4 linked regions of the Lytechinus pictus genome follow. The protein of the gene in region 4 purifies or fractionates together with the protein of the main gene of each other region. This does not show direct contact. Links are inferred from orthologs where the notes say so. Each region holds a gene or a part of one and is shown on either strand. Other genes may lie near its edges.

Region 1 (7,812 bases), on a different chromosome or scaffold from region 4:
AATAATTATATTCACATGATAAATTCCAGGTACCAGCATCAAAGATTTGATGAACTTAATGGGATAAAATCAAGAAACAAATCAGATAACAGAATATCATCATTTCAGGAAAAAAAATTAAAATTACATGACTAATAAGATTCTGACATCATCAGTACAACAAGAGCTGACCAACCAGTAAAAGGGTGGCATCCTTGCCCTTTCCCAGTTATATCATTGTAATTTTCCCACACATAACCTGACCTATTATATTGCTTTATAATATTACTAACAACATTTGCCCTGAGTTCACTGTAAATTTCTTTAGCTTGAGCAGCATAAGGACCGGGAACATTAGCATAATGATGCAAGGCACGAAGAGCTAGGTAATTAATATTGATCCAAACAGCTCCACGCCAGTACGGTGGATCGTGTTCAGTGTTATGTTTCATGTACAACGGATCGCTCTTTGATAAGGATCGAAGTCCATAGTTGGTCCACAACATGTCAGGGTTTTTCATGTCGGTGAGGGTCTTGCCAAGTTTGTCAGAGTTAGGGTCAAGGATGTGGAGAAGGAATGGGAAGAGGCTGACATATCCAAAGGAATTGACATACTTGTTGGTGGGTCCAACTTTTGATTTGACAACACGAACCATCTCCATCTGGACAGGTTGTTGACCTGGTTGGCGGGGCGGTGGGTGAGGGCGCTCTAGCACAACTCTAGCTGTATGGTTCCCAAAGTCACTAAACATTTTTGCCTTTGGGGACCAATGAAGCTTCTCAAGAAGGGCATTATTAGTTAGGACCTGCAATGTATGCTCATACTGATCATATGGTAACCCAATGGTCTTGCCTATCTCAACCATCACACTTGAAGCCAATGCCATCCAACAACGCAGATCAATGTGACGTTCTTCACTTGAGGGATGGGATGCTCGAGGATAGTCATCACATCCAGAGGTTAATGTCTTGGGATTTAACTCGCGATTTGTCTTGCTATCACGACCCTTCCAACGATAGGATGTTGGGACTGGACCATACTGAGTTGTGTTGAACCATTGGAACCATTTACCTAACCTGGGATAGATATGCTTTAGGAAGGATGTGAACTCTTTCTTTGGGATTACAGATGATCCGTCCCTCAATAATGATTGGAGGGGTAGGAAAAATGTTGGAGGGTTAGCATTTGTATCATGTTGAACTACAAACTCTGCAGGCACCTTACTTCTAGCCTCAGAGTCTAGAATCTGTTCTCTAGGTATCCAACCATCTGCATTCATTAAATCAAGCCAGTGGCCTATGATGTCTACACTGATGTATGGATCCCACTTGCTAATCAACAGATTGTGAAACCCTTCATCCCACAGGAAACCACGAGGAAAGAACGATCGTGAAGGCACTGCAGTGTACAGAGGAGCTACCCAGTATGCTACCGGTTCCGTATTATGCTTGGATTGAACAACCGAACTCCCATAGAAATACCCAATACCTCCTATCATGTTACTCATTGTTGCTTTTGCAAACACTACTTCATCAGGAGCGTATCCCTTTTCAATCAACCCGAACTTCTCCTCAAAAAGCTGGTTGAAATTATTGCTGAAGCTCTGCACAAGACTTGTCAACTCGGAACCAGCAAGCTCCTTTTCCCTGTCCGCTTTGCTTCCAGATTCAAAGACAACATCCATGATGTATGGAGGTTCTACAGTCACTTGATAGACGATGATGTTTGCTGTCTTATCAGGTGATGCTGCAATCGTTTGCTGGTCATTCCCGACAAGACCAAGAAGCTGGATCTTCTTCTTCAACTCATGATACTTCAACCGCCGCATGACAAGGTCTTTGATTGCATGGAGGCCAGGAGTGTAGGACACCAAGTAGTTGTTCATCCTGACTTTTGTTGGTTGTGGGAATCGAAGGACAAACTTCCCGAGCTCTTCTGTGGTGCCCTTGATGCCCAGCAGCTGATTTCCATCCAGGATTGGTTCAATTGATCCTTGACCATCGAGAGCGAAGTAAAACATGAGGCTCAGTGTTTTCTTCCCCTTTGTCTGCAGAATTAACATTACAAGTATAATATTAATGATAATCAGTATATTATTTTCATCAGTTCAGAAGGTAAGAATTACAAAGATCACCAACATTCAAATCACTCTGCCGACACCCCCCCCCCCCCATCCTTAGGCAAGAGCCTTGGGTGGAGCATATGAGTTAAACATAAACACAAACACAATACAATTCTCCCGAATTAGATACCAATTCAATGAAGCAATCATTATAATACTGGAATTCTCAAAATAGAATGAAAAGATATATGAAAAACAGTGTAGAGATTTGGTTAATCCATATAATAAAATATATTTTTCAAAATCATCGTAGCACTCTTACAGCTACTCATAATTCATGTAGATCTACATTGTTATTTATCAACCTGTGATGTCCAATTTTTATCTTGTAGAAATTCATAATGCTAAGTTTTTTTGCCTAGTATCATCAGTATTTAGTTGTAGTACTACTTACAATATCTACTCCATCTTTGTATCGGACAGAAATAGATGCTGACCAGTCCCCTCCTTGAAGTCCACCTCCACTCTTTGCAAAAGCCGTTTTGATATGGAATGGACCATCAAAAATATCTTGAATTCCAAAATTAACACCATCATGTTCAATCCAACCATACTTGTCCAACCCATCTCCTTGTTCACATGTGTGCCTGAATTTCAGATCTGGATTTTGACTAGGAGAAGTTGGTTGTTGAAACCACATAAGACCCACGACAGGTGATTTTGGAGAGCGTGTCTTTAAGCCGAAATAGACGCCGGGGCGGTATGTACCCCAAAACCGCCCGGGACTTTTGGCGGCGGAACTGGCATCACTCGCTATGGTAAGTGGAGCGCTTAGCGGCGTCTTCACAGCTGATCGAAGGACATGCTGATACCACAAGATCATGAGTGGTATGCTAATCATCAGAGATGTCAACAGAAACATTATGAACTTCGAAGACGATTGTGCCGCCTCATCCTTTGCCTTCCGAGACTGTGCTCCATTTCCAAGTTTCGCAAGTTTAGTTTCACGGCTGCGGGCCCCTCCCCCTCCGTCAGTGAACCGCGATCGGGGAGATACCCCCGCTTGCTTACGTTGCTTCGGCATCTTGATCGGGTGATTGAAAGCAACGCGATTTGCTAGGTTTTTGCCACTATTATGAATAAATTTCAAAATTTGAAATATAATACTCATGAACAATTCTAGTCCACTCCAGCTAATTTAGCATTTTGCACCGCAAAATGCTGGTTGATGGCTAAACATTCATTCCTTTTTTTCAAACAAGTCTACGTACGCGTTGCCGGTATTAGTCTTTCACCCAGCTCATTCGGTATCGATATCGGATATACTCTCAAAAGTCGCCACGTGCCCGTAGTCTCATATTTCGGACGTAAATCAACGTCAGATGGCATATACCTTAGCCCCCATAACTAGATTTTTAAACCCATTTTTTAGTTTATTTCAATATTCAACATACGAATCAGTAATAATAAGATAATGACCCATTGGTTATATATATATATATATATATATATATATATATATATATATATATATATATTCGGTAGATATTCCACGTGTTGGAGTAATATTAAGAGAAACAAGGTTGAAACTTTCATGCTTTAATCCAACAAAATTTATTGAAGTCCACAAATTTTCGACGAGTACATACCGTCTTTATCAAGTACATATACCGTCTTTATATATATATATATATATATATATATATATATATATATATATATATATATATATAATGAGATGAGGCGAGGCCAACTCAACAGATGACGCAGGACACCATTATTTGCTTTAGCTTTCGTCTTTTAATTGAGACTTCGTCAGAAGCCCCAGAAGCGTCTGAAAAATATAAGGAGATACAACATCCAAGTTTGTTTTGCACATTATTATCACCAAGTTGAATATATTCCATAATGACAAATTAATGAATGAACAGATAAATAAATTAATGAATAATAAATAATTAATTCAATTAAAATAATAATGATATAAATGAAGAAGACATACCTGTAATTACAGACTATTGTGATAGTTAAGTATGACCGTATCCTATCTCGTTCTTTAGGAAAGTGGCAAAAATTGCACAATGAAAACATTGGTTGCTAGGTGGTGAAAGCGCAAAGCGCATTGGTATGCGCATTTAATTTATGTCACAATAAATATGAATTTTCATGATATTAGATATCGTAAGCTGGAGGATGATGTCGAAAACATTGTTTCTTACAAGCATAGTAATTAAATTTCTATGAAACGATATAAATTTTGAAATCAAATTGAGATTATAAATAAAATTGTTGATAATTCGCGTAATGACCAAAAGTCTCACTTCTCAAGCTTAGGTCATCTAGAAAGCACATAACAAATACATAACAATAAGTATTTAAAAAAAATCATTTAATCATTTAACTAGTGACACTGATGTAACAAATGTGACACACGATTGAGGTTAATTAGAAAATATCTATTCTTCTACATTGATGCCGTTTGGTACAAGTGTCTTAAGTTTCAGAATCCAATATGACTCTCGTTTGAGTATGATTGATTTATGCTGTTTTCTGATAAGTTCTATTATCATCACACACTATATATATATATATATATATATATATATATATTTATATGTTATATATATATATATTGTCATATCAGGGAGGGAAGCTTTAGAAAATACCCTTCCTGGTATGACTATCACAACAACTCCACATTATCCCGGCATATTATTTGGTTGCATGTTGAACAAAAGGTCTAAATACATATACACAATCCATAAAGAAAATGTAATGAAGTCAGGAGGAGGGTGGGCTCCACGATCGCGACCGCGTTGGGGTGCCAATCCAATGATGTCTCATCGATCAGTTTTTGGCAACTTAATTGACTATTATGAGGCTATTTCTTTTCTGTCCAAAATTCGAGCACTTTCCCCGGGGGGCCACTTCCATTGACGAGTGGATACCATGCGCGACCATGGGGTCTCGAAAAGCACCCTAAACACGTATTTTCCATATTCTGAAAATGCACCCCTTAACAAGTATTGGCGTGTGAAACCCTACCCTTAAAGGGATGGTCCGGGCTGAAAGTATTCATTGCTTAATAAATAGAGTAGAATTCACTTAGCAAAATGCCAAAAATTTCATCAAAATCGGATAACAAATAATAAAGATATTGAAGTTTAAATTTTAGCAATATTTTGTGAAAACAGTCGTCATGAATATTCATTAGGTGGGCTGATGATGTCACATCTCCACTTTCCGTTTTCTTATGTTATTACATAAAATCATAATTTTTTCATTATTTCATACTTGATCATTCATGACGACAGTTTTCACAAAATATCGCTAAACTTTAAAATTCAATAACTTTGATATTTGTTATCCGATTTTGATGAAATTTTCGGCATTGCGCTCAGTGAATTCTACTCTATTTATTAAGCTATGAATATTTTCAGCCCGGACCATCCCTTTAACAAGTATTGGAAACAAAACGATACTCTTGGCAAGTATTCCCTGAAATGAACCCCTAAACAAGTACAGCAATATTTGTTATGTCACGGGTCCGTCGGTCGTCGGTTTTACCTTTACACATCATTTGGTTAAGTACAGCCCCACCTTCCACATCTGGCGCAAATCGGACTCTAAACGCGTAGTGTTGGGGGCAAAAACGACATCCTTTATAAAACATTTTAATTTTGTTTTATCATCCCCGCAAATTTGACCCTAAACGCGTAGCTTTCCTAGCGAAAGTAGATACCCTTTTTTCATTATTTTTTTGTTTTTGAAACCCTTATCACGTTACGTACGTAATAACGTACGTGCCCTATCTTGAAAAAGACATCCTTTTTATGTGTTTTTTTGGTCGCGCATGGTATCCAGTCGTCAATGTAAGTGGCCCCCCCGGGCACTTTCCCAACGGGAGATATTGTGAAACTTTTACCATTGCATTTACCTGGTGTAACATGGGTAGTGACATAATAATTCATTAATTTAATTTTCATTCATTTTGGGAAAAAATATTATGATTGATGTTAACTTAAAACATTAAGGAATGTTCAGTGAATAAACTTTATTTTTTCCAGCAGCAGTTTTCAATCATTCATGCCAGGGTGAGGGCCCTAGAAACAATTTTTTTTTCAAAGGGGTGCTGGTTTAAATCTAACAAGACAAAAAGGGTATATATTCACTACAAAATGAAAGTGTCCGAAATTTGAAAAGTAACCCTGCCCCCCCCCCCCCCAAAAAAAAAGGGTTCTGCTACAAAATGAAGGTGATGTTGGTTGGTCCATGAAAAAGCAATGCAAAAAAATGTTTCCACCGCTAAGAAATGAAGATGAGTGGTGATCGACATTTTGCTATTAGCATTATCAGATTTAAAGGGGGTGCTGTCTATATGAGCATACGCAGGTGACGCAGCAATGGCCGTACACAGAAATTTTTCGCGGGGGGGGGGGCAACACGCATGCTGAAAGTGAGGGAGCGATTAAGCGACCGAGCTTGTCATTGGGGCGGTTTTGCATTTTTACAAAGTGGAATTAAAGGATAGCTGTAGGCCTATACTTTGGTAAAATTTTCAGTAAAAAAAATTGGGGGTGATTGCCCCCCCCCCCCCGCTGCGTAAGGCCACGGGGACGCAGCACCCCCGTGCATGTGACCCATGATTCATACGCTTGACTTATAATTTTTTTCATAAAAGACTATTTTCTGTACGATGTACATTTCATACTGGTGCTCAAAGGCAGGAGATGGCGCTATTGCCATTGATGCATGCCGTTGATCATTTTTATCCACCTTCATGGGACGGATTCAGTCGGGTTGGAATCCGACTATGATAATCAAAATAACTGGTCTTATTTCATATTGGAAAAAAGATATGTACCTGTAATTGGTAATTGAAAAGTATAGTAGCATTCAATCATTGGTTAAAGAAATCGAGGGGACTGAATTTTTGGATACACTGCCATAATGACAAATTTCCCACATGCAGAGTAAAACCCTATAGACCCCCCAATCAATGAAAGCAAAAAATAATAAAAATAGTATATATCGGCCCTTCGTCAAACCTGCCATAAAAGGTATTCAAGTAATTTCGATTAAAATTTTGAAAAGGGCAGCCATAGATTTGTATAAGTCAGTTTCTTCGATGAATATTCAGCTGCAATAATTATTAGATAAGACCGCTTGGCAGATTAAAAAAAAATATATTATGCCCTCCCACCAGAAACGAAACTGATAACTTAATCGCAAAACATTTCATATCTGTGAAGCCTTTGTCCCCCTCTTTTATTTCATGAAGTAAAATGCACTTTAAAATTCCCATGCATGAGTGAGGTTCATCAAGAATATAGCTGGTGGCGATTTATATTATGTTTAAAGAATAGTAATTAAAAAAAGTTATTTATCGGCTTTTTAGGGGAAATGAACAGGAATCATATAAATATTTTTGTTATGCTTTTACTTCCAAATCCTGCATGGTGCCTGCATCATACGCTGTAGCATCTTATGTTCAATGTATGACTGACCTCCATCCTACGCAGCAAAGTATATAGCGGAGTATATCTTTAGAAAATGAACTTGTATGTTTGATTGTGCCTTTAAATCAAAGCCAATGAATGGTTTTGAATCGACTTTAGATCGGTTTTAGAATGAATATCCAAATAACAATTATAAGTAAAAAAACCCCAAATTTTATACTGAAATCAAAAGCATAATCCACATTTTTTAAACTTCATTATTTCTTTCTTGTTTGGCGGCATATATATACCGACCCCCAGGCCCGTTGCAG
Region 2 (8,413 bases), on a different chromosome or scaffold from region 4:
AAGCAAAAGGAAACAAAATAGTAAACATAAGAAACATACAATATATACAGAATTTTTTAACTTTTGGCTCCCCATAATTTTAGCAGAGTTAGACCGTGGTCTAAGTTAAACCTGACTTCAGAATACGGGCCATAGCTTCCTACAGAAGCAGAGTTCCCAGGAACAAATGTCTTTGAAACCTCATCTTACCCATTGAGAGATTTGAAAATGTTGTTATAGTATTCATCCGTTTGATTTACAAGGATGGGAACAACTCGAGCACCAGCAGACTCCAGATACTTGATGTAGGATGCAGCGATGTAAGAGGCCCCATACTTCTTTGTCGATGAGGAACTCCCTTGCGCCAACACACCTTAAATGCGTTTGGAAAAAAAATGTGTAACTTACTCAATTACCAATATTAACAGTAAGGCCCTAAAAGACTACCTTCCCCCTTTCTTTTCAAATTAAATTCTCTAGATGCAGTATCAATACATAACTGCTCCTACCACTCTCAGTAAATCCAAAATGGTATGTTTGTCTAGACCGGGAAAATTATTCATGGTTGATGTTGCAGCTCCTCCAGACTATCAAAAAATATAGGGCTTATAATGACAACTTACAATCAGGCTCATTTTACACTGCCCTTATAAAAAAATTGATTTGGATTGAACTGAACTTGGAAAATGGCCCTCTAGTCTTACATATATCTTTTGTAGCATTATTGTAACTAATAATCAATAAATTGTTCATCATAAGTCAATACAGAACTATAGTCAAGACAGCCCGGCACATAAAGTGGATAACTAGACCTAGATTTACAGAATAGATTCTTGCAACATGATCACCCTCCTCGATTATACCCTCATTTTCCTTCTTTAACTTTTTAACTGAGCACTCCTACTTTTGCTTCTCAAGTTCTCATCCTCCTTTCTTCTTTCGATCCTTCTCCTTCTCAATCTCCTGTCAAACTTCTCATTCTCATCCATTTCATCACTGGCTAGACCAAAAGCTTCAGTTTCTGTGATGTCAGTTGTTCCACTTGACTCCTGACTTGACTACTCTCTTGATTGTGTAGGAAAGTTTTAAATGTAAAAAAATATATGTTTAAAAACCCCTCCAAACAGATGAATTCAACTGCATGGCATGCATTGATTGGTCTGCTTTCCAATGAAATGTTTCTTCAAAAGACAAAACACAATAAATGCTTGTGAAGTTGTGTATTATTCTTGAATAAACATGCATGCTGTAAAAAGACTTTGGCAGTGTATCCTATTGCCGGACACCTTTATTTTAGTGCTTTAAAAATGACAACTAGAGGAAATACAATCAAGAAAAATTCACACTTGCTATTCCAAATATTATGAAAATTATGAATATGATGAAATTATTTTATATTTACCAACCATTTTCTTTGCATCGCACTTGCCGCATACCCCTCCACGAAAAACAATTATTTTCGGACGCACGCCGGACGGGTAAAGATATCCTTGATTATAATGATGTAAGAACAAATTTGTGTGATTTTTTTCTTCTTATATCATATCATGAGTAAATTCTAAGTTTTTATTTGCTTTTTTTATATCGAATCTGAGCAGATGTTGGTAATAAATTCGTATTTGATAACTTATTAAATCTTATCTTGTTTGCTGCATGTTCCATGGCACTTTCCAATAATAATAAGTTCTATCGATGCGCTGCCGATCGACGGCTCTACTCACGGTAAACCTCGCGCACGGGTACCTTGAGAACTAGCCGTCGACGATCACCCACAATACACCATACCTCATCATTCGATCGAAGGAGTGGACGAGATTGAAATTCGGCAAATCAGGCCCATATTTCCGTTAGAAAATATACAAATTGTTAATGCAAACTATGTCATCAGTAGAGGCGCACGGCCAATATGGGAGACTCTCTCCAATAGGGGAGACAATCTCCCACATTGGAGACTTGCTTTGCAAAAGGACAAAAGAAACAACACCAACAAAAGCATGATTTTTTCCACCCAAAATTTTTGTCTCACTGAGGTCAGAAGCCCATTTGTTTTGTATGTGATTGACAACAAAAATCCTTATCAAAACAAAAGTAGACGGTGAATATTTAAAGTAGACGGTGAAAAGGGGTAATTTTTCATGAGGAATCTGCTTATCACATTTTTATTTGCCGCCAAGGTAATCCTTTTGCAGCAAATGTAAACAAAGGAAATTGGACTCCAAAACTGGAGACTGTCTCTGAAATTGGATACCCAAATTCTTTACAAAAGTCTCTGATATTGGAGATAATCTCCCACATTGGAGACAGTCTCCAATATTGGCCGTGCGCCTCTACTGGTCATATGATATTTTAAGCATTTTCTGTCATTTTAGAGATAAATAAGGTAAAAGTTTGATTTTTTCACCTTGTTTTAGCAATCTTGTTCTATGTATTGCTCTGTGAAATCGAATTGCGGAAGTCTTACGGTACGAAATTGTTTTCGAACGCAGTAATATGCGCGTCCGGAATCATAATATTGTCCGGTAATTTAGTAATACATTACAAATACAATACGTGACGATACTATTACTAAAAAATATGTGAAACACAGATCCTGCTTGAATTCGTAATCAGCTAATACACCGAGGACCTTGGATACGTGTCTTTGGGTACACAGATAATTAGTCAAAAATATTTGGCACAATTAAGCACGGTCAAATTAAATAGTGAGGTCCGCGATGGAGGGCCCACTCCACTCACACGTATTGCGACTATGCTGGGCCCACTCAACATAATAGCAATCGCAGCTCTCACCCAGCCAGAGCGCCTGGCGCGACACAGGTGGAGTTTCCGTAATCACAATCAAAAGGCGAGAAATCAGCCGGAGAATTACTTCAGTGAAACAAAAAATAAATACGTGGTATTGCAACTTACCCACAACGGGACGAAGTGGAAGAGCATATGTAGAGATGATTGACACTGAAATAATTAGGAAAGTTACTTTAAAGATAAAAGTATTCATTGTGAAATTAAGTCGGAACGTCGTCTGCAAAATCCTCGAGTACGGTGCCGTACTTGTTGTGAACGATCGTGTGATGCAATCAGAGTTATCAGACCACGCACGCGCACTTGATGATAGCGAGGCTATAACGGTAGAGCTCGAGCTCGCTACGAGATGGAGGCCGAGGATGCCTGCCGATGACGTGATGGTGTGGGGGTGCCGGGTGGCGAGGGTGGACGCAATGGGTCGATAGACGAAAAGGATTCAAGAATCAACAAAATTAAAATCTTAAAATAGAGAGAGTGTCTTCACTGGCGTAAATGGGGGGGGGGGGGGGGGCCTGGCCCAAAAAAGTTCCACCACCAAGATAAAAATGAGAAAAATGAACAAAAGGAAAGGAAAAAAACACATTAAATATGTTATTTTATATTGACTAATTAATCCCTCTTTAGCTTTTCTTATCAAAGAAGGTAAAAAATATTTCTTGTTCACTCAAAACTTTCAAAAATTGTGCTCATTACACAGTGATGTTTGGGGTTTGTCCCCCTAATTTTATTTGGCTCATTACCCTACTGGGTGTTTGTGTGAGGAAACAGGGGTATACAATTTTTCCCTCCCCCCTTCCCCCCCCCCAAAAAAAAAAAAATATTCAGGGTTGCAAGCTGCATGTCCAATGGAAATGAATAATTGTCATCGTTGGAAAAGGCAGAAAGGAAGGCTTTTGTAGTCACATTCATTTTCTTTTCAATTTTTTTAAGGTCTACTGCCATCACAATTCATTCATATTCATTCTCATCTGTTTTATCTTATTTCCCAAAAAGAGCACATCCTTTTTTTTCTTTATTGTGTACATCCTGCCACTCCCCCTCTTCTCATCCCCCCTCTCACTCTCTCCCTCCCTCCCTCCCCCTCTCCCATTCTTTCTCCCTCTCTCTCTCAGCTCTCCCTCTCCGTATGTCTGTGAGTTAAAAACATGGCAAATAGTTAATCTGTGCATCAAAGTGCATTACAAAAATTATTCTATGCATTTCAATCACTTGTTTATGATTTACGATCAGACCATTCTATTCATCAAATTGATAAGGCAATCATTTCAATTCAAAGTCAAAACAGAATATGAGAGTCTATTCTTGGAAAAAAATCCAAACTGTCTGTTAACAAAACTATTATTTTTAGGTCTTACTGTAAACTAATACAGTATATATATATATATATATATATATATATATATATATATATATATATATATATATATATATATAACTAGAATAAATGTAACCACTTTTATTTTAAAATGTAAATGACAAAAAACACTATTTCCATTCCTATTTTAATATTCCATTTTAAAGTATCCAACAACATACCCACAGGAATATAACCTCTGAAACTCTAGACGATTTCTTAAAAGAAAAAAAACAGACCATCACAGCCAAAATATGGGTAATATATAACTGTATTTCCCAGTACATTCATGACAGTTTGAAAATGACAAGTAAAAATCATCTGTATTTATATTTCCTAAAATATATTACTTGTAGTTACATTGTAGTACAAATCAAATTGAGTGAATTTCAATTTTCAATTTCTAACATTATCATATGCTACTACATCTCATCTGCCCCCCCCCCCCCTCCCCAGAAAATATAATAATAATAAATAAATAAATCAATAAAAAATAACAATAATAAGCAGTCAGTCCGCAAGCCCTGAAAAAGTAGCTTCTTTTATCCAAGTGATATTCATGACTAGAGGGTTTTTGCATAGTTAATGAGCTTGGTGCGAACCAAAACACCTCTTTTTATTCGGCCATTGCTGCTCTAAATATTGACCAAATTTCATGTTTTTGGTATCTTTGTAAAGAAGAAGAATCATTCTTTTAGGTCATGTGTTTGGATTTTTTAAAAAATGTTGTAATATAGGAAAAACTTTTGATCTAAAACATGAAACAAATTTTTTTTTTCATGCAACAAAAGTTGTTATTTTCACACTTAATTTCTGTTTGGGCACAAATTATTTTTAAATCATGATAAAGTTGAAGATCTAAGCTTTAATATGATATAATTTTTATAAGAAGATGTATTTTAGATGGGTCAGCAGCCAGCTTTTCATAGGCCAAGTACATTTTGCAGCTCAAAAACAAGAATACTGCGCTCTGATTGGTCATATAGACCACACACCCATGCAAATTCCAATGTTCCCCACACTGGGCCTCTGCAAGGTCACACTCACCATGTGGTAATCTCTTCAAATTACCCGCGCCTGTTTGTTTTGAAAACAGTATTCAGCCAATCAGAACTCTGGATTTTATGTTACTCAGAAATTTCAGAAATCTCGTCTTGCATCTTGATGGAAAAAGCTGGCTGCTGACCCATCTAAAAGATGCCACATATCAAAAGTGACATTGTAAGAAAGTATAGAGTTTGAGCTTTCTGATGATATAAATAATGTTGGTGCCTAAAACACAAAATGTTGCACAATTTGCAAGTGAAAACAGAGGAAGAAAATTCTGTTTGATGCATCTTTTCAGGTAAAAAAATCACTTATTTATCAAAATATTTCATTCAAAAGAAATGACCAATATAAAAGAGTAACATTTACTCTTGCCCATGGTACAAAAATAATCAATATTACTCAAGGAGAAAGTGGTTAAATTCTTTGAGAAAGAAAGTCTCACAATTCACGAGATTTTGCAGGGACATGAATTCAGCCACGAGAGGACTTGGATAAATCTTGCTCATTTGCTCATTAACACAGGGGCTTGCGGACTGACTGTAAGTGTTAAATATAAGTCAGTTCACAGTTGGCTCATGATCAACTTTTCTAAAATGACCTTTCCTATGTTCCATTAGGGTGAGCACTATCACTTTCAAATGAAGATGTTGTGTAAGCTTTCCAAGCAAAGCAATCAAATTCTAACAAAGATAGGCATGGTACAGAGCAGCTTAGGTGTGATGAAAAGAATATATTCAAATGAATACATGAATAGTTACCAAATCACAAATGCTTGTCAGTGAATAGGAAATACTTGATGGTTTATCTCAAATAACCTTTTACTGCTCATGCGCAGTTTACAACTGTGAACAGGCTTATTGCATCGTCAAAGCTAAAAGCACTTTATCTGCCTCTGATGAGTTAGGTCACTTGGGTGATCCTACATGCAATGAATAATCACTTTTAAATAAAGGGATACTTTGTGAATGAGATTAATACTGAGCTTTGGGTTTTAAAAAGCAAGCTTCTAATGCAGTTTTCTGTAAGACAAGGACTTTCAACTAAATGAGGGATCAATTTGATAGTAAAACTTATGTAGGCAGTGTAACCATTTACTTAAAGGATAAAATGAAAATATGTGTATAATTAAATGACTATTCAAAATAAAGCCTTTGATTATATGTACATGGTGTTATTGAAAATTTGTGCATATTTACAATCAAATTCAATAATAATAAAATCAGTTTTCTCATTCACATTTGTACCACAGAAGCTCAAAATTTGCTACAAAATGTTCAAGTGACATATTAATGACCACTTTAATTGTCAATAGTACTATAGATTAAGGGGCTTTCACAATTGCTTGGGTGATCATTTGCAATCAGTTTGGCCCCAAAATTATGATACAGCTTACAGTAAGTCATATTATTTGCATTTTTAAAAGATTAAAGTGTAATTTGCACTATAATATAATATTGTACATGATTAAAAAAATAAAAATGTTAAATCATTTCTAGTCGACTCAGTATATATTACACAAATTCAGCAAATGTATAAAGCAGGTTAAAGCAATTAGGTAATTGAAACTAGTGTGGTTTCAAGTCAACCAACCTTGACACAACAAATGCCAGATGACTATTACCAACTGGGCACTTCCACATGGGCATTGTACTTTAGTTATAAAGTTTTTGAAATAAAAAATATGTCTTTTGTTTTGCTACCCTCTTTACCATTTAATGCAAGAAAAATTATGATTGTTCTCTTCCACTCAATTTTCTTACATCCATGATATTATAGTACTTGACCACGATACTGGTATTACCAGGAAATTGAGCCATTTTCAGAGTACAAAAATGTCTTCTGAAATCAGTCATTTAAAAAAAATTAACAATTAACTCTTTGTAAACTCCCCCCCCCAAAAAAAAAAAAAGTATGATACTAATGCCTGAACCACTGAACCAATACATAGAAAGATTGAGCAAACCAACTTCATTTTGAACCCTTAACCCTAATTCTCCCGGGGGGGGGGCCATAATGGCCCCCCCTCGACAATTTTCGCGATATATCTGCTGCGCAAAATTTTTTGACCTCGCCGCTTACTGACTTTTTACTTTCAAGTCTCGCGCAAATTTAGAGACCAAATTTGTGACGCCCGGGTACACGGTTACGACATTACGCAACATTATGTAAGTGCATGTCAGACCCAAAATTGCTCATAAACGTGATTTCAAGTACAAATCCAATGCAAATTGTGTATTTAGCCAAAATTCATAAATGTATCATTATTTCTACTTTTACTGATTAAACTTAATTAATTTTGCCTTGTTTATGGTCAGAATTAAGTCTGGAACGATTTCCATTGAAAAAACAATAAAAAACAAAAAGTAAAAAAACAAAGAAATACATAAGAAATTCATAAAACAATAAAATACATAAGAAATTGATTTCCAAACCGAAGTTTTTTTTTTATCGCGATTGTTAAGAATGCTACAAAGAATATTTTTACCAAAAATTAGCATTCTAGGAGCTTTATTTAGTGAATTAGTGCAAAAAGTATGATTTATGCATAAATTAGAATAATTAATTCATATAAAATAAAATCTCATTATTTTGGAAAATTTTACCATACAGCCCTGTAGATTACATCGCACACTACCAGCGTGCAAATTTTTGCGTCGCTCGCTCGCTCGATCAGCGGCCGAGATCTTAAGGGGGGGCCATTATGGCCCCCCCCCCCCCCCGGGAATGACAAGAATCAAAATACCCCGGGAGAGTTAGGGTTAAAGACCAAATTACAAAACCTCTGCTCTATAAACTGACCACATATCTCATATCTAAACATGGCAACCAACTTTCTTTATTTGACTATGAATTCCAATTAGTGATAATAAATTATATATTCGCTAATGTTTGTACCTTTTGCATCAATCATGTAATTTATTATTATTGGTAGAATTTGTTTATATTTGCAGCTTGTTGTTACGCTACATGTAGCGCCATGAGCGTGTTTGGACAGTGTGTGCGCTCTATAAAACAATACCATTATTACTTTTACTATTATTATTCAGAAACCATTAAACATAAATCCAGACAGATTTAAGGTCAGCCATTAAGGGACACTCTACCAGAAATAAGAAGTCTAATTATGTGCACTAGATCATGCTTGTAGTGATGTTTAGTAAGACTCAATTACGAAAATGGCTAAAATTACATTTACAGCATAATTGTATACTATACAATTCAGAA
Region 3 (7,760 bases), on a different chromosome or scaffold from region 4:
TTGATTTTTTTTCCCGTTTTGGTGCATTTCAAGCCAAAACGGAATAATAATCTTTATTTTGGACAAGTTCTTTTTATATATTTTTATGAAATAAAGACAAAAATCGATGAGCCCCGATGGGGGGATTTTGCATTGTTAACCGCCTAATGGTGGCTGCACGATAGCGAGCTGTCTGTGTCAGGCACGTAGCCAAGGGGGGCGTTCACCCCCCCAAAAAAAAAGTCCCCAAAAAGAAAAAAAAGAGAAAAGGAAAAGAGAATGGAGGAAAGGGAAGAAAGGTAGCTTTTGGGGTTTTTTTCTTTTTACTCTTTAACTTTTTTTCTCAAAAGAAGTAGGCCTAGTACCTTAAAGGGGAATCCAACCCAAATAAAAACTTGTTTTTATAAGGAAAAGAAAAATCAGATAAGTTGATAGGTGAAAGTTTGAACAATATTGGACAAACAACAAGAAAGTTATGAATTTTTAAAAGTTGTAAATATTGGTAATCACTATACCCATGGAAACTTCAAATTGGCTGCATATGGGATGTTATAGTGATGTATGGCAAGGACTACTCTTCCATGTACTCCAATACATATTTTGGCTAAAGTGTCATTTTCCCCCAAAGTTTTATTTCAAATTATGTTTTTCTTTCATGAGGACATAAAACAATATACTACCTGGGTTATGTTTAGATTACTTCCCCAGGGGAATGGGTACTTAAGAGAAAATCACAAATCCCTGATAATAAAGTACATGGCCTATGGGAAAGTTGTCCTTGCCCCTTGTCATAATTAACTTACCCAGTTGCCAATTGGAAATCTACATAGTATTAGTGATCTCAATTTTAAAGCAGCTATAACTTTTTTATTGCTTGTCCGATTTCTTTCAAACTTTCACCATTCTGTTTAATTTATTTTTCTCCTTCCAAACACAAAATTTTATGGCCAAGGCTGGATTCCCCTTTAATGAAACTACTTCACTCTCTCTCTAAATTTATATATATAAATTTTGCTTCACTTTTGAAAACAAGGTTCAAAATCACAATAAATTCAAGAGACGGTTCCTCTTCATTTTAATTCATAAAACATAGAAAGCTTCGCCTGGGAGCGGGAAACTCCCTCTCCCTGCACCCACCCCCTAGGGAGCGCACTTCGCGCACTCTGTGTTAGCACGCCTCAAAAATGAAATCCTGGCTACGCCTACGCCAAGGCTCCACATTAACTTTTTTTGGTGGTGGCCCGTTCGGGCCACCAAAACCATCAAATAATTTTTTTTGGTGGCCCGATATTAAAGTTTGGTGGCCCGAAAAATATAAAGAAACACATTAAAAATTAATAAAACAAACTTCTGAAATATTAATTCTGCAGCCACTACCACTAAGTTACTTTCACTTTATCATCTTGTATGTAAACCTTGTTTGCTGTTTTTGCTAATTGGCTTGTGGTAAAATATAAATTGTTTCTATCGTTGTAAAAATTAGAACAATGCATAAAAGGGGGAAACAAATGAAAATAATTTTCAAAAAGTATATTACAAAAAGAAAACAAAAATAATAAAAGAAATAAGTGAAATAAAACAAAAGAAAGAAAATGAAGAAAGGAAAAACAAAGAACAGGGAAAAAAAAGAAAAGAAAATTTAGAGAAAAAAAAGTGAAAGAAAAATGAATAAAACAAAATTAATATAAAAATGGGGAAAAGGGGAAAATTAAGAAGCCATTACGAATATTTTTTAACAGCTGTGGCAACAGTCTATTCTGACTGGAATATAATTAAAAGCCAAGCAAATAATTTTCACTTACCTTCTGGAAATGGCACATTTCTATTTTTATATCCTTTAGTTTGTATTATTTTATTTTCAGTAGAAACATATTTTTTAATCAGGTATATTCAATAGGAAGGGGTATAAATGGTTTAACCAAGTGCTGTAAAAAAATGAAAGAAAAAAAATAAGAAGAAAACGGCAATAGTTATATCTGGAAAAAAAGTGAGAGAAAAGTCCTTCCCTATATTTGCCAAAATGTTGAAAAAATTCACATTTCATATCAATGAAATGCCTTCCCAAAGTATCTCAAGAGTGGTTTAAGAAGTCATTTATAAACAAGAAAGAAAGAAACTGTCTGTTTATTTTTGGCTAGAAAAGACACAGCTTCGAAAGAAACCAAGTATCAACATACATACAAATGCACATGTGGGACTGTGATGTACATGCCTATGTGTTTTTATGTGTATTAATTCATTTGGAAATCGGTCTTTTGTAGTCAAAAGAGAGGTCATAATTCCTCTTCTTAATGCTTGCAAATAATCAGGGTACACCAAATTTTCGTAATATAGACTGTAGAATGTCATTTCATTGGTGTAAAATGTGACTTTGACTCAGATTTTCAAAGTTCTGTGGAAGATTTCTAAGCAGCAACATTTTTTATCGCAGCTCCCAGAGTGTGAATAGGCTGAGCTAGATCTAGAGCATGCACAGCTGTATGCAGTGGCTTCATGCAAAGCTAGCTCACGCCAGCAGCCGGCCGGTGCGGCTGGCTGGATAATAGCTACTGTATGCTATAACTGTAGGCCTAATATGCAAACTGTGTGTGTGTATTTGTGTGTAGATCAACAAAAAGGGCGCATGACGAACTGGGTTGCAATTTGAACTGTAGAAAGTTGATAAATGCGTGCAAAATCGGGAGAAAAATTGCGCTACTTTTGAAAATTATTGGTTGCCCGATTCGGGCCACCAAAACTTAACATTTTATCAATAATGGTTGCCCGATGTGAATTTCTGGTGGCCCCGGGCCACCGGGCCACCGCTAATGTCGAGCCTTGCCTACGCTACGCAGTTGGTCTGTGTACGAGTCATAAAATTACGTTAAAAACTCCTAGAAACTGATGCCATGGCTGCCAGCTGTCTACCTCGATAGATGTTGTCCTAACCTCGCATGACTGTGATCATAACTTCAACATAAGCTCTTTGATTTGAAAGTTTGAATAAGTACAGAGTCAGGGCAGTGGCAGTCTCTCACAAAAACTATATAATATATTGACATGTAAAAAAATTAGATACGGTACACAAATACAAAAATAGATATGTGGGACCCTTGCCTTGTAAAAAAAAATATACCAGCACCAAACACACATTGTTTTCTTTCTAGATTCTTAGTATCTTACCGCTTCCACGTCATAATATTTTCTCAAATTTGATCTCCTGAACCTCTCATCTGTATTATGTTCATGTATTGCACGGAGTAATGGGTTGCGAATTCGATGAGAAGCCATAATAAATTCGTCTTCAGTCAGTCTCGGAAGTTAGTCGCTTGACTCTATCATGATCAACTAGCTAGCTAGACCGATCAGCTGCGCTGCATCCCGCCCCGGCCCCCCGGCCGCGCCCCGGTCCCGCGGCCAGGTGATGTGAGGCTAGCTAAGCGGCGAGGCCGGTGCATGCAAGGATGCAAGGCAGTTTGATTGGATTGGATTGGTTCGGTTTGGTTTGGGTTGGGCCCGGGCGGGGGCCCGGGTTGGGTTAATTGGGTTGGTGGCAGGCGCGGATCCAGGGGGGGGGGGGGGGGCACAGGGGGCACGTGCCCCCCTTTTGAGAAGAAAAATTAAAATTTGTAATGTAAAAATGCCATTGAAACCGAGATGTGCCCCCTCTTTTGAAATTGAAGACCTTTTTTTTTTTTTTGCTTGTCAAATTTTTTTCGGGTACGAAATATCCTTAATTTGTGGTTGAAAACCCTTTTTGGGGGGGCTTGTCAAAATTTTCCTCCGAAAAAATTGCCCCCCCCCCTCCCTTTAGGAAAATCCTGGATCCGCCCCTGGTTGATGGGTGGGTTTGTTGAACATTCATTGGAAAAATAGCGGGAAAAATAGTAACAAAATATTGCCGGTTTGAGAAAAATCCATGAAAGGATGAAAAAATAAATAGAATTTGAATTATAGGCCTATGATCTGTGACGTCATATGCGAGCAGCTTTCCTACATATCGTATGGTAAAAACTCAATCAAATGTGATTTTCTCAGAAAATTGAAAATGGTATTCACTGTACCTTCAGTACACTGGCGGATCGATCCAGGGGGCACCAGCCGGCCCGTGCCCCCCTTGACAGGCACAATTAAAATTTGGAATGTAAATATGGCGTTAGAACAAGATATTGCTCAGGTTCGGATCAACGGGTGGGGGGGGGGGGTGGGCGGCAAGAGGTCTTGGCACAAGAGAAATCTACCCCCCCCCTCCAAAAAAAAGAGATACAAACCTTAGTCATTTGAGAGTGATGACAAACTTCTTTTTTGTCTTTTTGATTGTCAATTTTTTTTTTGCATATCAAAAAAAAAAAAGATAAAAAGATAAATCACATATCCAACAAACTGCTTAAAAAGTTCCTTTTTTTAAGTTGTCTGCCTATTGTTAAAAAAAAAACAATGTGTAAAAAATGTCCGTTCTTAAGGTTGCGCTTTGCGCCTTTGCATAAATTTAATTACTGGTATAGCCTTCATTACCCCCTTCATGACTTTTCTTTATGCATGTATGTCAAACAATGCTTCAATTCCTTTCAAGATTAGTCAGGTATATGTAGGCCCATTTATAAATTTCAGCTCGCGCTTCGCGCTCAAATTATAAACAAATAACGGATACCGTTACTATTATAAAGGTGCTCAAAATCTATAGTTTTCAGGTATGAACATCAACAATAATCAGCTCACACTTCATAATGCTCGCGTTATTTGTTTAGTAAGAGATATGGCGTGTTCATGATTAAGGAAGTAAGTGTTTAGGCTATAATGCATTGTTTTTAGGTCGCGCTTCGCGCGCGCATCTTTAAATGGTGAAACACGTATCATGTTACTGAATTCATACCAAGAGTCCTTAAAAAGCCCCCCCCCCCTTCCCGGCTCAAGGTCGGAGTGACGCCTATGCATGGTCCCTCTTGATAACCAATAAGTGCATATTGCAATATGCCTATCATGCATCATCATCGTCATCACCATCATCATACCGCCATTATCATTATCCTGATTATCATTTTCATATAATTAATATCATTGTTATCATCATCATCACCATCATTATACTGTATGCATGGTAAGGTTTCAATAAAACTTATTCATAACGCACAGCAAGATCGGCAGTGATATTGAATTTAATAATTAATATACCAATAAGTAACACAGAAATGTCAAATATTTCAAGCATAATGGCAAGTATTCTGAAGTCCAGTTTAATTTATGGTCTAACTGTGTTAAAAAAATGGGAAGCCGAAAATATATGCTTTTTACGTTTATTATCCCCCTAATTCCCAGACAGTTATGAATTGACTTTGTGTAGAATGAGCTAATTAATTGCGCCTACAATGTTACGATTTTTTTGTAACATCTGACTCCCATAGCTTACCAGAGAGTGTTTCAACAACATTTTCGTCCGACAAGTCAGATCTGACAACTCTTCTTGAATGTGGTTGGCTGAGAAGCACCATTACCATGGTAACTGTCAGATAAAACAGGACTTGTCGGATAAAATGTCCCACAAGAGCTTTCAAGTTACGCTCCCAAGAGTCCATAGAGTTCAGAATTTAAGGGTTTTGTCTTTGCATAAATCAAATTACTTAACAATAACTAATTTTAATTGCTTTTTAAACAGAAAAGTCACACAGAAATGTCGTATATATAATATTTTTTTGCATACTTCGAAAACTTCTTTTTTGTATACAACTATAGCTTGCGAGGAATTTGAAAAGATAGTCCACAAACTTTAATGGCTCATCATTATAACATGATATTGAATGTAACATAACATGTAAAATATTGAACTTGGCAGTGAAAAGGCAAATTGAAATGCTGTAAATTTTTTTTCTTTGAATGAATCAATAGTTTATGTTAAATCCATCATTTTTCATATCTTTCGGAATGATTATTATAACATTTACTGAAAATCATACTGCATATGTTCTTTGATAAGAATACTTATTCATAAAATCTTAGAATTTCTTTATTATCCCATGAATATAGTGAATAAAAACAAAAACAAAATACGTCTTAAATTAAAATAACAAGTTATGCGCCTGCGCACTGAAAACACTATTATAAATACATCATCAATCGAAATTATAAATACAATATTTCTATTACTATTTATCCGGTAAAAAATTGTTAATCAGGGGTATTTCATCAATATTTTTCGTCCGAAAATGTTTTAGATCCGATGAGCGCTTCATTAACATTTTCACCCGACAAGTTATCAGGTCTGACAACTTTCCTTGATTATGATTGGCTAAGAGACAATGTTACCATAGTAACTGTCGGATAAATCACTACTTGTCGGATAAACGTCTGAAACGCTCGCCAGACCTCTTTTGTTGATTTTGATTGGCTGAGAAGCATTGTTACTATGGTAACTGTTGGGGACTTGACGGATAAAAATTAATGTTAAAACGTCTCACAAGTCATTTTATGAACGCTCCCCAGGTAATCCATTTGCTTCTGCAAACTCATCATTAGTCTGCTACCATTCCCTGCTTGACAATTATTATCGTGTAACCGTTTATAGACAGATGAATTAGTACGACTTCATATACTGTATATCCAGCAAGACCAGCATAATTATATGTCTGCAAATCTTTTTAAATATTGATGGTCCAAATGTTTTGCTCGGAAAGATTTTGCTTTTGTGAAACTTCACTCTTCATCGATGTTTTTTAACGAGTCTTTTCCAGAGTGGAATTTGGCGGCGATCCATTTGTTTCTTAAAGGAAGTGATATGTTCGAGAACAAAGGAAAGGTCCGGTCTTGACTGTGGATTCCTCTTCATGCATTTGATGGCTAAGGATGTTAGATCTTTCAGAAGTGGACATCTTTCTGCATGGTTGTGGAGGAGAAGAATTTAAAGTAAAACGGACACAATCAGGAAAAAGGTAACTGAGTAAGGAAATCTTCATTAATCCGGGCATTATTCAAACCAATTTTTTTTTTTATAGAAGTCTTTTATCTTTGCTTTCAAAGGAAATACATTCCAGTTATGCCATCAAAGCGGTTATCGCTTCTGCTGGTTGGACAATGGCGTAACCCGACTATTCAAGAAAATTGGCCCCAAACCGGTCCGAGACTCCGAGCAGTGCATGGGGATGATAGCAACTAATATATTGACCTGAAAATTCATAATTTTGGGGACAAAACCTCCTGCCCTACCCCATTTTTATTTTTATTTGGCAAATTGCTTGGCAGAAAATATGTACACCACTGTCCCCACCCCTCCTTTAGCCAATCCTTGATATACGCCCCTGTCCCCTATATATTCTATATACTCCTCTGATAAATTACACGAGGAATCTTGCAAATTACCTTCTACAACTTTTGTGATGTCTTCAAGGATTTTGCCAACTGAGAATACATCCGATGAAATCGATGTTGACTGTCCATGTAGAACGACCTCGGGGGCTACGTAATCACCCTCCTCTCCGTGAATGTATGCTACTTTCAATTCTTCAGGAAGCTCCGTCATCTGTAACGGCGACGAGATCGTACTGACCATACCGAAGTCAATGATGACGGCGTGGTAACTATGACCTCTTTTCTCGAGAAGGACATTATCGGTCTTGAGGTCGTTGTGCAGGAGCCCTTGGTCGTGAAGCTCCATCATTCCTCGCACGACGTCCTCTGCGATGTCGAGGCCGTTTGTAACAGACAAAGACGGAGGCTCGAGGAGAGAGAAGGAGGTCCCCGACTTTTGATTTCCAACAAATTCTATTGCCAAGCAGGGGTCGTTGTCGAGATCGAGCGTGCCTAAAAAGCTC
Region 4 (8,388 bases):
CATCTGAAGGAATAACAGAGGGCGTGTCGGAGCGCCTGATAGTCCCAGGGAATAATGTAACCGGAATAGCTACTTATGTAGAGGCTGCGGCGGGGGATCCAGTTGGTCCCTCGAACACCCGAATATCAGACCTGGGTGAAGCCATTCTGGAATCAGTTCCAGATGCTCTCCCAGGGCTTGGGTGTGCAAGCGAGATTGAAGAGGTAGTGGTATGTAGGTTGGAGTCGCGCTCTACTCTCAAGGTCTCAGTTGTTATAGGGGGGCAGCCAGTAAGCGCAGTTGTCGATACCGCAGCCGAGGTGTCCATCATCTCGGATAGGCTCCTGCAGTCACTGGACCCCCAGCCCCCTAAACTGAGAGGAGTGATCCTACATGCAGCGGGACGGGATATGAAGATGAGAGGGACAATTGTCGGTCCCCTTTCCATAGAGCTTGGGAACCAGACATTCTCGGAGGAAGTATATGTAGCCCCTATAGCTGATCATATGCTCCTGGGATTAGATTTCCTCAGCAAGCGCAAGGCTGCGATTCACCTCCTAGATCCGCATATGCAGTTGGGAGGTCAGAGGATTCCACTTTGGTATAGTGATGACCCTGGGCGGCAGATTGCCCGGGTTCATTTGCACAAGCGGGTAATTGTTCCTCCGAATGCAGTCAAGCGGATCACCGGCATTATAGACCAACGTTTAGAGGATTTCATGTTTAACCCTTAGGATGGCTTACTGCTCCTAGTTCCCGGTTCGGTTTACAGGGCTGGGAAAACAGAACCCATCTGATAGGCACCTTAAGGTAACCTGCTCTGAGGTGTTGGGGGAAACTGAAAAATTGAAGGGAAGGGAGACGGGATCGCTCCCTGTTGAAAAATGGGTTCACCTGGATCGCGGTTCCTCTACCGAATTACAGGCAAGCAGCCGTACTATTGGGGCTAATGGTTCAGCTTGTAGGTGGAGCCAGTCCAGTACAAGTCGGTCAGGGTGAGGCCAGTGGGCGTTACCGATGGGCAGCTGCCCATCGACCCGTTACGGGTGGAACAGGAGAAGGATCCTACCCTGGGTTCACTAGCGAGGTGGGAGAGCTTGTCACCTCAGCCTGGCGGATAAGGTTTCTCACCCTCATGGAGCGAGCTAGGATTAACCATCTGGCACTCTATGGGGTGTAGTGAGGAAAAAAGGGACTGGAGGAGATCTGTCCTCCATTTGTCACGAAGGGATTTCGATTCCCTTTGCATTTTTGGGTTAGCTTAGCGCGTTTAGGACCCTATATGTTTTTCTGTACGGGAGGGACCAGCCGAGTCGCCTCCTCTTTGTGTCTGTTGTGTTCGTTGTTTTCGTCTATCTTTTTTGTATATTTAGGCCATGTAGGAAATGCTTCATGGTCCGCTTTGGAGGGGAGTGTTTTAAATGGCCCTTTTCGCATAATGGCAGCGCTGACGCCCCCTTCCTGCACCTGGGGGACCTAGGTTGGGTACTGGTGCTCCAGTCTCTCAACCGAACGGGAATGCTATGTGTTGCACAGCCCGGGTAAGATGGTGCCTCGACAGGGGAGGGCCAGCGGCAGCCCACTGCTATGGGAAAGTGGAGCTTTCTGGGAAGGGGGGACCCTCCTGGGATATGGGTTTTTGTATGGGTTTTATATTTTTATATATATATACCATTGTTCTATATGTTTTGTATGGGTTTTTTAAAGAACCTCAAAACTCTAGGTTTTTAGGTGTTATTACGGGTTTTTACCGTTTTCATGTTACGGGTTTTTAAAGTTTAAAGTGTTGAACAAGTTTTTAGCACAGTTGTGCCAAGTGTTTTGGATAGTTTTGGAGTTTTTATTTATAAAAGAACGGAATATGTTTATGGCTGATTACGGGTAGCAAATTATAATTAATTTTGGGAATGCAGACTTGGGACAGAACAATGCTGCATAAGTACTTTTTGCCAAATTTTAAGGAGCATTGTGTACATAAAAGACCAAAGGGAATTTTTAAATGGGCTTGTATTTACTCATGCCCAGCCGGGAGATAAGGTCTCCTGGTTGGGGTGCCTAGGGAGTGGAGAATTTTTTCCTCCCTCTGCCTGGTGTCTGGTTTGGATAGCGTCCATTTGGGTTGGAAACTCGAGGGACCGAGTTTTATAGAACGGGGGGGACTGTTGTAGTAAGTCACCCCACCCCCCATATAGGTCTTCCACCGGGAGATGGCGCTGGACCCCTTTTAGACGCTGGAGGACGTTGGATCCCTTGGATCATTGTATTTGAAGCTGAACTCACACGGAATAGACAGGAACTAGGACATCACTCCAGGAAAATACTGGTTAGTGACTTATTCCTTATATTCTAGCTTCAGGTATCAACCTAGTGGTCAAGCTGGGGGCGCGACCGCTACATATACTTGAAACTGTCCCCACCGCCGTGAAAATCAAGCTTGATTCCCCGTTGAGTGGGGACTGTATCACGAGTATATAATAAATTAATAGGGAGAGAACCCAAGTGTTTATATACACTACAGTGTGTGTTTCATTTGTGTGTGTAATATCATTTTGCTACAGTCTTAGTTTTACAGAGCTGTCCGAGAGTTGGGGACTGTGTTCTGGAGAAGGGAAGTGATTTTCATGCGTTCTGGTGGTAGGTGTGATTCTAATAATCCCCACTTTTGGATTTGGGGACTATATCACGATTATGCCAACCAACATACAGCAAGATTTCATTCATCAACATGGCAACTTCGATTTCTCAAGACCAAGTCTGTCTGGCATGATCACGTCATGACAAGCACAAACTGACAAACAAATTAAATTCCACATCCATTTCTTACACATGGGACTACACACAAAAAGATGATCGACTACACTCGACTTAAGATTTGATTAAAACGCACGATTCCTAGAATAGAATCTACAAAATTGGTTTATGTACAGGTATATACAAATGATGATGTTTTCAATGCCATTTTCAGCTACACTCATACACAAATTCATATTAAAAGGGGTGTGTTCTCACCTTCACGCCGGCGCCGGTAATCGGTAATGAACGCCGTATCGTATCGTCACATGCAAAAAACATCGCATAAAATTATCGCGTGGAGCACGCTGACTGGTCAAATTTTGTGTGCGTTAATTCCAATGTGTAGAAATGAGAGACAATATTCCGATGGTTCATTTGCGTTGCCAATATGTTACTTGGACTACTGATGGCAATTTTAAATGGGTTAAATTCTGTTTTATAGTTTTAAAAGTATAATTTTGATATTTGAAACTGGCAGACGTTTAATCTATATATTTTAAATGCGCTGCTACTTTTTATCTGGCATAATTGTACATTAAAAAAAAAAGAAGAAATGGGTGGGGGAGGGGCACAAAAATCTAAACCTAGCCTTAGACCGGGGCCTTAGACCAATGAGATGGGCATCACTCATCATAGTGGTGGATTAATCCACCTCTATGGCATCACTTAACTTGGCAGTCAATACTCCCGAGGGGGGGGGGGTACTTACATTTGGTTTGGACGGGGGTGTGCGACTGAAGGCTCAAAACCCATACCCATGATATTTACGGGTCATTTTGGCTAAAAAGGTACCCATTTATATTACGGATTTATTACAGAGGCGGATCCAAGATTTTCAAAGGGGGGGGGGGCACGATTTTCCCTGGAAAATTTGACAAGCAAGCAACAACAAAAAAAAGGTTATCACCCATTTCGTGCACCTTAGACTTTGGAGTAATATGGACCCATGTTCAAGGCCAGTATCTAAAAATTGGGGCCATGTTTAGGGATTTTCCAGCATAAAACCATACCCCATGTTAGGGACTTCTTTCCAAAAAGCGACACATTCCAGTGGCACATCTCCGTATGCCTTATTTCGTGAATATATATCCCCCCCCGGGTCAATACGTGCATCCAAGCATGGATCCAAGCCTCGATCCAAGGCCATGTGTCCATTGATAATACCTGCAATCATTTAGCCAGTAAATTTGCATAATATGGGTATATAATTTAGTAGATGATCTATATTGGACATCCAAAAAAAAGCGGGAAGATTAAAAAAAAATTCCAGAAATCAGGACGACCCTGATTCCTATGAGCTATATTTTATGCAAGAAGGGAACTTGTACTTCATCACATATAGTGATTATTTGAGCCATAATTGCTTTCTGACAAAGTTCGAGGAAATAAGTCATTTAAGTAGCTTGGAAATTATTCCACCATGCAATCAATCAGTGGAGGCCAGGATTTTCCAAAAAGGGGGTACATTTTCCCGAGGAAAATTCGACAAGTTTCAAGTTTCAAAATTTATTGATCAAAATCCACACATATTAAGTTACAAATCAAATATATATATATATAAATAAATATAAATACTAAATACAGTAAAAATATGGTTAACAATTTTCAAGGAGCCCTAAAACACTTTGCACGATTTTTATATATGTAAATTATACTAAGCTAAAATCACATTTATATAATTACAAGCAAAAAAGGTCCATAGTGAGTTTAAAAGGGGAAGAGGGGCACACTTCGAAAACTCTGCATAAATGAGAACGTGCCTAATTTAAGTCCCCAGGATTATGTCCGGGGTCTTTATTATTTTTGGACCCCCGCTCCCCCCCCCAAAAAAAAAAAAAAAAATCTGGCCTTCCCCCATTCCCACTTTATAAAGTTTCGATATTTTTATCTGTCTCTTTCATATAACATGTGTGGATTTCTTTTATTAATATTTAGTTTGCAAATGCATGCTAACTTAAAACTTCTTGAAATATAATTTTCATTAAATGATAAAAAAAAGATTCACTCTTCAGGGGCTGCAGAACAGTTTTGAAAGTGGAGGGCGGCTGAGCCAAAGGTGGAGGGCGGCTGAGCCAAAAGTGGAGGGCGGCTGAGCCAAGTGGAGGGCGGCTGAGCCAAAAGTGCATGACCATGCAAAAACTCACTATGGGATGGTAATTTTTACATTTTTGTACCCGGGTTTGGAAAAAAAAAACAGGAGGAGCTGAAGCCCCCCAGCCACCCCCTGTTTCGCGGCTCCTGCCGTTTTTAAAATGAAAATTTGAAATTTAAATATTTCTGAGATCATCAAAACGATCGTCATTCTAGCAGTGCGTAGTTTGGGATGCTAACTTTAAAGATGAATTGCAATCGGCTAAAGACCCTGTAATTTTTTTTTATTATGATAATTTGTAATTTAATTTGTAAATCCTGTACAGAATATTTAGTAAATGTTATTTCACAATCGACTTTTAATGATCTTTGAAATAATTTCATTGAATTCTATTGGTACTGGGTCATTATTAAACTACCGGTACTAGTTTTTATTTTATTTTCTTTATCTGAATAAATAATATTTCATAGATTAAGACTATCTATTGGCACCAAAATCAAATGTTGATCAGCTGTGAATGTCGTCGTGTTTACCACTAACCCCAAATCACCGGTCGCAAATTCAAATTTACCAGAACCTGTGCCTTGTGAGATGTCTCGGAAATCTTATCAACATAGAACTGTAAATACCAGTGCCGACTCAATTGAAATTTCTTAGGTTAAGTTAGCTTAGATTTACTGAATACACGCCAATTCGAATGCACACACATGCACAGACATGTCATTAACGAATACGTACGGTACGGTACCTCAGGCTCAGCCTCAGGCGATGTTCGCGCAGGCTCCACTCCACTTCACTACCGCAGCGGCTAGGCGCTACACTACGCTCCACCTACCCGAACATCGGGACAGTGAACTACTTCAACTAGATCGGATATTCCGAGTCATAAGGTGGGATGGCAATCATGGTTATCGTAAAAGTTAAAGAAAAAAAATATAACGAGGGATATGAATGACTTAAATAAATATTCTTACTCTACACCCGTATTTCACTCCGTGTCCATCCTCCGGTTATCCTCAAAATTTGTGATTTTTGGCCAGTATCTTTTTCCTCACATGTACAGTAGACTAGAGGCGCACGGCCAATATTGGGCATAATCGTGATATAGTCCCCAAATCCAAAAATGGGGATTATTAATATTAGAATCACACCTACCAGAACGCAAGAAAATCACTTCCTTTCTCCAGAACACAGTCCCCAACTCTCGCACAGCTCGCGCTCGAGAACTTGCGAAATGATAACACACTTACACTTGGATTCTCTCCCTATATATACTCGTGATACAGTCCCCACTCTACGGGAAATCAAGTTCACTTTGCACGCAGTGGGGATAGCTCCAACAGTATATTATACTCATGATACCGTCCCCTCACAACATAAAATCGTGCTCGTTCGACAAGGCCAAGGGGATGGGGACAGTTTCCCAGTGTAACGTGACAAGGAAGACTCATTCAAAACCTTCGGGAATTATTATTATCATTGTCATTATCATATTATATTATCATTATTATCATTTTATCATTATATTATTATTGTTATTTAATCATAATTATCATTATTGTTATCATTATTATTGTTGTTATTTAATCATTATTATTGCTATTATTATTATATTGTCAATATTATTATTATCATTATTAATATTATTACTATCATCATCATATATAAAACTTGCACAGACATGTCATTAACGAATACCGCCTTTTACCGGGTACGGTACGGTACCTCAGGCTCAGCCTCAGGCGATGTTCGCGCAGGCTCCACTCCACTTCACTACCGCAGCGGCTAGGCGCTACACTACGCTCCACCTACCCGAACATCGGGACAGTGAACTACTTCAACTAGATCGGATATTCCGAGTCATAAGGTGGGATGGCAATCATGGTTATCGTAAAAGTTAAAGAAAAAAAATATAACGAGGGATATGAATGACTTAAATAAATATTCTTACTCTACACCCGTATTTCACTCCGTGTCCATCCTCCGGTTATCCTCAAAATTGGTGATTTTTGGCCAGTATCTTTTTCCTCACATGTACAGTAGACTAGAGGCGCACGGCCAATATTGGGCATAATCGTGATATAGTCCCCAAATCCAAAAATGGGGATTATTAATATTAGAATCACACCTACCAGAACGCAAGAAAATCACTTCCTTTCTCCAGAACACAGTCCCCAACTCTCGCACAGCTCGCGCTCGAGAACTTGCGAAATGATAACACACTTACACTTGGATTCTCTCCCTATATATACTCGTGATACAGTCCCCACTCTACGGGAAATCAAGTTCACTTTGCACGCAGTGGGGATAGCTCCAACAGTATATTATACTCATGATACCGTCCCCTCACAACATAAAATCGTGCTCGTTCGACAAGGCCAAGGGGATGGGGACAGTTTCCCAGTGTAACGTGACAAGGAAGACTCATTCAAAACCTTCGGGAATTATTATTATCATTGTCATTATCATATTATATTATCATTATTATCATTTTATCATTATATTATTATTGTTATTTAATCATAATTATCATTATTGTTATCATTATTATTGTTGTTATTTAATCATTATTATTGCTATTATTATTATATTGTCAATATTATTATTATCATTATTAATATTATTACTATCATCATCATATATCATTATTTTTTATTATTGTTGGTGTTATTATTATTATTATAATAATGATAGTATTATAAATTATTATATTATCATTATTATTATTATTCTTTATCATTGAAAATGTGCCCCTTCCATCCATTCTGTTCCTTGTATTTCATTTAATTCCTTCAAATGAAATCACTGTAGATCGACTCATAATAACGTTTGGGTATTAATTATTATAATTATCATCATTGGCATCATTTTCATTATTGTTGTTATTATTGAAAGAGTCACCCCAAAACAAAGTAATCAATACAAATATGTGACGGAAATGAAAAGTAAAGTAATGATAACAACAATAGTATAATGATGGGGATGATGATAATAAAGATTAATAACAATAATGATGTTGATAATAATTATGATAAAGGTTAATATAATGTTAATAATAGAGAATAATAACAATAATAATAATTATTATAAAATAATAAATAAAAGATAAATAATGTTAACAAAAAATAAGAATAACAATATTAGGTAAATAATAAATAAATACAATAAAAAATAATGACAATAATGATGATAATAATTACGATAATACCCAAAAGTTATGAATGAGTCTACAGTGATTTCATTTGAAGGAATTAAATGAAATACAAGGAACGGACTGGATGGAAGGGGCACATTTCCAATGATAAAGAATAATAATGATAATAATAATATAATAATTTATTATACTATTATCAGTATCACTATTATGATGATAATAATAACAACAACAATAAAGAATAAAATTTATTATGATGATAGTAATAATAATATAATAAAAATAACAATGATAATAACAATATTAATAACAACAACAATGATAAAGAATAATGATTAATGATGATAATAATAATAATATAATAAAGAAT

Evidence for each region.
Region 1: the proteins of calnexin-like (region 4) and mannosyl-oligosaccharide glucosidase-like purify together in Homo sapiens (affinity purification with mass spectrometry; 3 studies listed by BioGRID and IntAct, with this or other methods). This does not show direct contact. The link is inferred for Lytechinus pictus from reciprocal best matches to the Homo sapiens genes CANX and MOGS.
Region 2: the proteins of calnexin-like (region 4) and gamma-glutamyl hydrolase A-like purify together in Homo sapiens (affinity purification with mass spectrometry; 3 studies listed by BioGRID and IntAct, with this or other methods). This does not show direct contact. The link is inferred for Lytechinus pictus from reciprocal best matches to the Homo sapiens genes CANX and GGH.
Region 3: the proteins of calnexin-like (region 4) and protein-L-histidine N-pros-methyltransferase-like purify together in Homo sapiens (co-immunoprecipitation; 3 studies listed by BioGRID and IntAct, with this or other methods). This does not show direct contact. The link is inferred for Lytechinus pictus from reciprocal best matches to the Homo sapiens genes CANX and METTL9.

The regions. Positions count from the first base shown.
Region 1 is NC_087256.1:13,568,927-13,576,738, forward strand, and holds the start of mannosyl-oligosaccharide glucosidase-like, read right to left. Parts: upstream 3,350-7,812; 5' UTR 3,214-3,349; coding exon 2,497-3,213; intron 2,028-2,496; coding exon 132-2,027; 3' UTR 1-131. UniProt on the Homo sapiens protein: In the context of N-glycan degradation, cleaves the distal alpha 1,2-linked glucose residue from the Glc(3)Man(9)GlcNAc(2) oligosaccharide precursor in a highly specific manner.
Region 2 is NC_087254.1:19,500,273-19,508,685, forward strand, and holds the start of gamma-glutamyl hydrolase A-like, read right to left. Parts: upstream 3,078-8,413; 5' UTR 2,978-3,077; coding exon 2,890-2,977; intron 353-2,889; coding exon 190-352; intron 1-189. UniProt on the Homo sapiens protein: Hydrolyzes the polyglutamate sidechains of pteroylpolyglutamates. Progressively removes gamma-glutamyl residues from pteroylpoly-gamma-glutamate to yield pteroyl-alpha-glutamate (folic acid) and free glutamate.
Region 3 is NC_087246.1:64,750,606-64,758,365, reverse strand, and holds the start of protein-L-histidine N-pros-methyltransferase-like, read right to left. Parts: upstream 3,466-7,760; 5' UTR 3,250-3,465; coding exon 3,142-3,249; intron 1-3,141. Other genes in the region: serine/threonine-protein kinase 24-like, read right to left, coding at 6,653-6,825, 7,309-7,760. UniProt on the Homo sapiens protein: Protein-histidine N-methyltransferase that specifically catalyzes 1-methylhistidine (pros-methylhistidine) methylation of target proteins.
Region 4 is NW_026974140.1:13,618,725-13,627,112, forward strand, and holds the start of calnexin-like, read right to left. Parts: upstream 3,049-8,388; 5' UTR 2,989-3,048; intron 1-2,988. Other genes in the region: coiled-coil domain-containing protein 138-like, read left to right, coding at 5,456-5,485. UniProt on the Homo sapiens protein: Calcium-binding protein that interacts with newly synthesized monoglucosylated glycoproteins in the endoplasmic reticulum. It may act in assisting protein assembly and/or in the retention within the ER of unassembled protein subunits.